2 linked regions of the Oryzias latipes genome follow. The protein of the gene in region 1 purifies or fractionates together with the protein of each later gene. This does not show direct contact. Links are inferred from orthologs where the notes say so. Each region holds a gene or a part of one and is shown in the gene's direction. Other genes may lie near its edges.

Region 1 (4,443 bases):
AGGAGGAACCCTCATCAGCCGCTTCTTATCCGGGGTCTGGAAGTGGAGAGGGTGAGCAGCTTCAGATATCTGGGGGTTCACCTCAGCCAGGACCTCACCTGGACACTAAACACGTCACAGCTGGTGAAGAAAGCTCATCAGCGGCTGTACTTTCTGAGGAGGCTGAGGAGGTTCGGCATGTCCCCAAAGATCCTCAGCAACTTCTACAGCTGCATGGTTGAGTCCATCCTGACCAGCTGCATCACAGTGTGGTACGGCAGCTCTACCGCTGCGGACCGCAAACGCCTGCAGAGAGTGGTAAAGACTGCGTCCAAGATCACCAGGACTCCTCTTCCCTCGCTGCAGAGCATCTACAAACGCAGGGTCTGCAGGAGAGCTGCCTCAATCATCAAAGACCCCACCCACCCGCAACGAGGACTGTTCACTCTCCTCCCCTCAGGACGGAGGTACAGCAGTGTGAAGTGCAGGACCACCAGATTTAGGAACTCTTTCTTTCCCTCTGCCATCAGACTCCTTAACAGCTGACTGGAGTCTGGAAAAAACAAACTGCACCTTTGCTTATCCTAATTGTTGCTATTGTCATTGTCACTTTTGCACATTTGCACTTTTACAACTGCCACTCGACATCTTGTGTTTTGTGTGTATGATGTGAGTGAATTGTTTTGTTTCCTCTATACGTTTGGCATTTGGAGCAGACAGCAAAGAAAGAATTTCATTGTGCAGGGAAACCCGTTTCTTTACTGTGCATATGATAATAAACCCTTTGAATCTTGAGACAAGATTTACATATCTAAACCTGTTAATATCTTACCTATTTTATGCATAAGTATTTTCCTTCACAATAGGCACATATATAGTTGAATTTGCCCAAATTCAAGCTCCCTGTGAACATTTTTGTGCTACAGATGTAACAACCATCTCTTTTAAATTATATAGGTTGTGACTAAGCACTGCAGTATTGTGACTTTTCTCAAGATTTCCCTTTGGATCTTTTCGCAGGCGTTGTCTCCCCCTTGTGGTGCTTAAGGGAATTACAGTGTGTCGATGTCAACATCTGTTCATTCATTTTTGTTCGTCACAAAACACGAAGCAACAAGAAGTGATCAGTGCAAAGCTTGTTATTGTTGTCGTCGGTTTTTGTCATAGTACGCTAAGATGTATAAAGAGGCGATCCTAGCAGGATGTGTATCCAGTGTCTGAAGCAGAGGCGCGTGGACGCCGAAAGTTACACCTCGTTATTTTTCCGGTCGTTTTAAAAAAAACTTCTCGGTTTAAATGATCAGAATAAGCGGTGTGCTCGTTGGGGGATTTGTGAATCATTTAAATAGTTTTGGTGATTGTTTTTTGTCTGGTGCGTAGTTTAAAAGTCACTGTCTGGACACAACGTCACCTTTAACTCGGAAAAAAAAAGCATATGACGGAAAAAAAAAAGCATATGACGGGAGTTTACCAGGAAAAGCTCTTTGGGGGGTGATTGGCATTTGCATTAGCCAATAGGATTTCAGAGTTCGCACACTGAGCCCGCCTTGGCTGAACGTCGGCCAATCTATATTTAGTACGAGAACTTCCTTCACAAAGACGGAGCATGTTCCTTTGTACGAGCAGTTCTGAAAGAATATTGCTGTTTTAGGCAGTGAATACGCGATTTTGTTTATAATTTTACGCTGGATTGGAGAACTGTTGTCACTTTTCAGAAGGACTCGAGGGGGATGATGGGAAAGTAACTGGTGGTTAGTGCAGCTATCGAACTACGGTGCTCTCACCGAAGGAATTCCAGCATCATCCACCTTGCTCCCCGGTTGGCACGAACTAAGTAAGGCCGGTCCGCAGTAACGTTACGGGCTTTTGGCGTTGATCTGTTGGGGATACAAAGAAATGGCTTCAATCAAGAGAAACCGTGAACAGTGACCAAAGGACGAAGACTGTTATCTCGACAAATAGCCACCTAGCTAGGTTAGCTAGCGAAGCTAACGTTGCCGGGACGACTTCCACTGGAACACAAAAGCGCCGCGCGTGAACGAGGGAGCCGGCCGCCGAGTGTGAGTTTTTCCTTCCCCGTTCGGCCCGAGAAGTTGGTGACAGCCGCGCGCCATGAACGGCTTCAGCACGGAAGAGGACAGTCATGACGGACCGCCTGCTCCGCCGTTCTACGGACAGAGCTGCTGCCTGATCGAGGACGGGGAGCGCTGCGGCCGCTCGGCAGGAAACGCCTCCTTCAGCAAGAGGATCCAGAAGAGCATTTCACAGAAGAAGCTCAAGCTGGACATCGATAAAAGCGTAAGCAGCTGTTCATTTCTCATTTGGTCATTCATTTTCTGAGCTCGCGCGGAGTGTCGGCAGAGAGCGGGAGGCTCGCGGGAACCGTCCTGTCAGCTAGCTGTCAGCTAATGCTAGCTAAGCTAGCCGGTTGATCAGCAGAGACGGTTTTTCGACTCCGGTGGAGTTCCTGCTGCGGAAAACTCCAGTCTCTGTAGGCTCACCTGTGTTCTCGCCTCTCAGGTAAATGTCAGCCCTGTTCGGGCCAGGGGGGGTGTCGGCTCCACTCAGATTCGGGCCGTTTTCTCCAGTACCCCCCGCCCCCGCCCCCCCCGCTTCGTAAAATGGCTGTTTTTCTGCGCAGCAGTGACTGAGCCTGCAGCGGGGCTTCGTCCCACCGAGGTTCACGTCAAACGACACAAAGATCGAAGCTGCTTCCATGACGGTGCAGAAAGAAAAAGTAACGCCGATGCCCCCACCTACCCCACCCCCCGCTGGAATTCATGGTTTTTCCACAGCAGCCTCGTCCTCGTGGGGGATCCGTGACGCCGCGTGACACGAACCCCCACTCACTGCTGCTGTTGTAGTTGATGATGATGAGCAGCTCGGACTGATGAAGGCTTTTTCTGCCCAAGAGCATTCCGTCAGGAGTTGAACCACAGCCCTGCTGCTGCTGTGGCCTGATTTTCTTATGTTTAGTTTCTAAACTCATAACTTTATTGATTCTACTTCCTTTAGTGACACAATCACCCTTTAACCACATTTACCCATTTATCTTTTTCACAACAACAAAACTGTTTGAATAAACTAATACTCTCTCTCTATTCAAATCGATGTGAAAAAAAAAAAACCTACTACGGCAAGCAGTAAGCGTCCCGCTCTGCTCCATTCTGATGCAGACACATAGATTCGTGAACGTCTTTGTTTTCCTGGTCTGAGCTGGAATCTGGATCTTAGCTGTACGGATGGATGGATCTGATATTGCTGCCATTTTTGTTACACCCCTAATGTTAGGTTGGGGGTTTGAGGGGCTGTGCTCAAACAAACGGATGTTGGGAAGCAGGGGAGGGCTCACTCCATGTCAACGGTCCCCACCACAGCTCAGAGGAGATTTTTCTAATGAACTCCGGCTGCTCTGCAGAAACTATGTCCTAGAAAACGATTCCAAAAGGGGATCATCATCATTAACCATAGATGAAAAGATGATCATATTCAAAATATCTGATTGATCCAACTGAAAGCTGAAACAATGCATGTTCTTCATCTAAACTGCATAACAAAGCACAGTCTTCATCACCAGGGTCAGTAAAGCTGCCGTCTTCCTCTGGCAAAACTTGTTTCAATTTTTCCATTGGAAGCTCTTGGAAAATGGAACAAACATCAGATTTTCTTCTCGGTGAGAGCTGATCTCCTGCCGCTGCTTTGGCAGAAACGCGTCGATTTCAAACCAGCAGCCGAGCTCCTCCGAAATGGAAACACAGAGGTTTTCCTGTTGCGTAAGTCCGTATCTTTGCGGCCATCGCTTGTAGGATATCTTCAGATTTGGTAAAGGCGTTTCCCGTCGAGGCATGAAGGTCTTCTCCGTCCGACTTGCTCTGTAACGTTCACGGTGCTGCACTATTTGCTCAGTTTTCTGTTTGCCTGGGAGGCTTTTCCAGGAAGGCTGAGCCTCATCATGTGACGGGATGCAGGAAGGTGGATTGAAAGCTGCACTTCTGGCTCTCAGCTGAGAAAACTGTTGCAGAAATGTCTGCGGATGCATTTGACCCTGCAGCCCCAGCGGTTTATAGCAGTAGATTGTTGCATATTGACAATTAGACGGTTTATCTGCAGCTTTTTGCTCGTGCTTGTTTGTTGTTTTTCTGTAAAGACTCAGACTTTCACCTCTCTGACTGCATTATTAATACACATTCTCCTCTCAACAGGTGAGACATCTCTACATTTGTGATTTCCACAAGAATTTCATCCAGAGCGTCCGTAACAAGAGGAAGAGAAAGACCAGCGACGATGGAGGCGAATCTCCAGATCACGATGTGGAGGTTCCTGAGGTGAGAGCGGCAGTCAGGTTCTGCTCCTCAGAGGAGTCTGCTTTGTGTGGAAACCGCCACAGAGTGGGTTGGAGTTTTATCATTCTTCAGACTCCTTTCAAAATGCCTCTGCTTTGGTTTCTCTGTAGGTGGATTTTGG
Region 2 (4,382 bases), on another chromosome or scaffold:
ACAGTGGCAAAAGAGATTTCATGAGCTACAGCTTGACTGACAAGTCAAGTGCAAAATGTTCTGCTCCTGGTTAACATCTGTATTATTTCCAACAAAGAAGAAACTTGCTGATGGAATAAAGTATCTTTTAGCCCAAATTGCCTGATTGGATGAATAATCTCCAGTTTGACTGTAGATGCTGAGAAGAGAAAGCTAAAGCCTTAGTCCCAACTGCTCTTAGGGGTGGGCACGGGCTGTCTGCAGATGAAAAAGGGCCAAATCTGTATGAGACAAGCAGGCGGCCCGCACGAAATTTCAAGATTGTAGACCACTCAGTGAATGTTCATGCTCAGTTTTTCTACGGGCTGGTGCGGGCGGCAGGTCGTCAGGTACTTTAACAACACACAACGGCAGGCACAGGTGAAGTATGTAAGACACAGGCATTTCATGTTGATTTTTCATTTTTTCCGCCCCCCTGAGCAAGAACACCCATACCTCATCAGTTTGTAACTTCCATTATCCTAACAAATACTTCACCATGTACTTACGAAATGCAAAACAATAACCTTTAAGGTGGTTGTGCAAGCCTCAAGGGAACTACAAGACATCTTAAGGAGCAGCCACTCCTCTCTACGACTCTTGACGGGCCAGAAAACCCAAAAACTGTAGACTTTAGACGGCTCGTAGACTGGATCAGGTCTGTGTGCGATTGGAAGAATTTCTGACCAATCGGCATCAAACTTTATGCCCATGTCTGTGATTAACTGGCTTTTGTGACACATAGAGAATTGTTTTGATTGGACATATTTTTAGGTTTCAAGAGTAAAACTGTTTTGTTTGCACTTATTTTTGAGTCTCAAGTGCATTTTTATGTTTCAAGTGCAAAATATTTTTGAGCACACAAAATATTTCAAGTATTTCAAGTACGCTTGGAATAATGGGACACATAAATCACTCCATAGACGAGGACAAGGCCAGAGCAGAGGACCAAGTGGTGTAAGTAAAAAAAAAAGGGCTTTGTGGCTTTGAGGGAGGAGTTGAAGAAGCAGAGGTGAAGAACAAATTTAAATAAGGTTCAACAGTGCAAAGCAAAGTCCAGATAAAGGAGATTTTCACGTGCCTGAAGCATGAATTGAGTGTGAAGTGGGGCTGTGCGACTCTGAGTCTGTCAGAAGGAAGAGGCTCAAACTGGGGTAGAAGGTTGCAGAGTCTTGTACTAAAATGATCTCCTGGTGGCATGGCTAGACTACCACAGACAGAACTGGCAATCCACATATCATGTGTTGATGCCCTGCCCCAAAGACGCAAAACAAAAGAACAAGGACAAAGAAACTTAAAGTGGGGCGCAGGGGCGGAGCCCAACCTTGCCCCGCCCAGCCCACGTAGCCCCTCCCACTCAGCGACGCCGTGCAGATGTTCTCCATCCAGCTCTTGTCTTTCTGTTAACGCGAATTGAGCCTCACCTGTGGAGCTAAAGGAGCTTGTAGCATGGCGTACACGGTTGCAGGTGGAACTAAGAAGAAGGTCTGCTACTACTACGACGGTAAGAGCTGCTGTGTGGCGCACGAGCCAGGCTAACGCTAGCTGTTAGCATCGAGCATGTGCTAGCATCGGTCAGTTACGGTCGGAACTCATTTCTCCGGGGCTAAAGTCTTTTCTGCTTCATTGAAACGGTGTAAAGCCAACATCTGAGGGGGGCACTGTACGTTAAGTAGCCGGCGCCTCACGTCTGTCTCCACCCCTCGTTGTGTGAGTTACGGCTACGTACGTCAGTCTTGTTTGAGACCCAGGCAGTTCAGCCGGCGTTCTGTTGTGATCTTTCAAGATCCCACCGAGGAGAACCCACATCCGGGAACGTATGAGGAGAAAAGCTTTTAACGTCTTTAACGAGGTTGCCGTCCCACAATGCAACCATCCACAGAACACACGACTGGCAGCCTCTACTGCTTCCAGACGAGCACGCGCGGCCTGGCTCACCTACACGTCACGTGACCGTCTGCAGAAGCCCCGGGTGGCTCTAAACCTGCGTTCAGGTCCAAACACAAGCGTGTCCGATCGCTTTAAGTTATTATTTTTTTTTAAATCAAAAACCTGTGTTGTTTTCTGGGACATAGTTTCTGCAGAGCATTAACCTCTGAGTTGTGGGTGGGACTGTTGATGCAGAGCACCCCCCCCCCCCCCCCCCGTTTACACTCTACTCTACCACTAGCTTACAGCCCCTCACAACCCCATCCTCACATTAGCAGTGCAACAAAAAAGATGGCCAATATCAGATCTATCCCGATTCCAGCTCAGACGAGGAAAACAAAGACGTTCATGGATCCATTAGTCTGCAGGTGGATGCCTTAAGGCCCGTACACACCGGGACGAATATTCGCCAGGCGTTATTCGCCAGCGTTTTTCGCCACGTTTTTTGTGTTCACACCCAGGCGATTTTCGCTGACGATGAGTGGAGTGAACATGCAATTTCATTCCCTGACATTAGATGGCGCTTAATGTAAAACTGAAATACTCCTGTACACAAGGTGGCGCTGCGCAACTTTACGCTTCTTAAAGTCGCTTTTCACTCAGAAGAAGAGAGCAAGTTTTTACACGCTTGTCAGAATCAAACAAAGAAAACATGAATATTTCAAGCACCAGTAGCTCCAACTGGTGCTTGGTTCGGGGATGTTTTAGAATGTCCGTCATTATTGCTTCGCGGCTGTGTAGACGCTACTTGGCGTCTATCTTCTTCGCTGGTATGTGTGCTCAGCAAGGCAGTTTTGTGTTTGAGCGCCCCCAAGTTGTGTTTTACTGTAACTTCAGAAGCTCCAGACACGTGAGCAAAAGCGCCGTTCTCATTGGTCGAGTAGATTTCGTCGGAAAAAAAAAACGAACCCGAGGCGTTTTTTTTTGGACGCTTTAACGCCTGGCGTTTTTTCGCGTCGATGTGCACACTCTCGTTGGTGCCCTTTGTTTAGTCACGAGGCGTTAAACGTCGGCGAAAATCGCCGGCGAAATTCGTCCCGGTGTGAACAGGCCTTTAGAGTGGAACAGAACAGGGAGCTTGGGGCTTGCTTATAGCTATTCCCAACTGCATATTTTTTATCCGCTCCTGACTCACAACAGTTTGAACAAAGAAATACTCGGAAATTCAATTTTCTGTTTAATTTTCTTCATATTCAGAATAATGCTGCCAGAACGTGTTAAAAACACCATGTTCATTTAAGCAATTCACTTCACCTTTTTCTGCGGTCACATTTAGCTTAGAGCAGTCCCACGTGCACTAATGACGTGCACATCACTTTGAAATGACTAGATTACTGATGCAGATGTAGATCTTCGTGAACATAAGTGTCATAAAAGTTCAGCCCATTAGAACTGGCACTTGTTTAGAGCGGTTTCATATTTTAATAATCTGACTGAAATCATAATGTAAAGAATAAACTGACATTATGAGATGTCAGAGTACATTTTGGTTGGGAGGGTCCAGTTTGTTGGACAGGGATCAGTCCCGTTTTCTGTCTGCTGTAAACTGTTCCTGGTTTGTTTACTGAGCAGTAATAAATAACGGTGAGGATGTGAGTCATCGTTCTGAAGCTTCGGTTGTTCCACAGATCAGTGCTCTGAGTTGTCTTCCTCTGTCGTTTGCTGCTCATGTTCTCTGTTGGAACAACACAGATGCCAACAGTTGAATCAGAAAAGCTGGTGGAGCTAATGTTGGCAATCTGCATCATTGATTTTGTGTTTTTCTTGTGTCTAGGTGATGTTGGAAACTACTATTATGGACAAGGACACCCCATGAAGCCACATCGGATCCGCATGACTCACAACCTCCTCCTGAACTATGGCCTCTACAGAAAAATGGAGATCTATGTATGTTTTCCTGTGCTCTGTTGCTGTGAGGAGCGTGTCTCCATGTGACCTGATCCTCAGCAGACTTCAGACATTAGGAAACGTCGATTTAGCTTGGCGGTTTGCTCTTAGTTCTGTGTTCGCTCCTGCTTTCATTCAGTTCTGGTTTCTTCCCTTCCACCTTTCTCCTGGTTTCAGAGGCCACACAAAGCCACCGCAGACGAGATGACCAAATACCACAGTGACGACTACATCAAGTTCCTCAGATCCATACGGCCAGACAACATGTCCGAGTTCAGCAAGCAGATGCAGCGCTGTGAGTGGGCTCTGTTGACGTTCAGACAAACTTAAGGAAGCATTTTGTACAGGATACAAGTCAAGTGAAGTGGATTGTCAGTGAAGCTACAATCCGTCAAATGTTTCCAACGCTGGACGTGGGACCACCTACTTTTATTGAGGCATCTGATTGGTCACTTTATAAGTGATAAACCTGAACTATAGACTGCATAACCTAGAGAATTGCATAACCTGAACTATAGAATGATGTAAAAACAAAAGGGATGACGTCA

Evidence for each region.
Region 2: the proteins of sap30l (region 1) and hdac2 purify together in Homo sapiens (affinity purification with mass spectrometry; 3 studies listed by BioGRID and IntAct, with this or other methods). This does not show direct contact. The link is inferred for Oryzias latipes from reciprocal best matches to the Homo sapiens genes SAP30L and HDAC2.

The regions. Positions count from the first base shown.
Region 1 is NC_019872.2:28,917,600-28,922,042, reverse strand, and holds the start of sap30l (histone deacetylase complex subunit SAP30L), read left to right. Parts: upstream 1-1,490; 5' UTR 1,491-2,091; coding exon 2,092-2,277; intron 2,278-4,181; coding exon 4,182-4,304; intron 4,305-4,443.
Region 2 is NC_019882.2:21,614,095-21,618,476, forward strand, and holds the start of hdac2 (histone deacetylase 2), read left to right. Parts: upstream 1-1,347; 5' UTR 1,348-1,467; coding exon 1,468-1,522; intron 1,523-3,721; coding exon 3,722-3,834; intron 3,835-4,011; coding exon 4,012-4,129; intron 4,130-4,382. UniProt on the Homo sapiens protein: Histone deacetylase that catalyzes the deacetylation of lysine residues on the N-terminal part of the core histones (H2A, H2B, H3 and H4).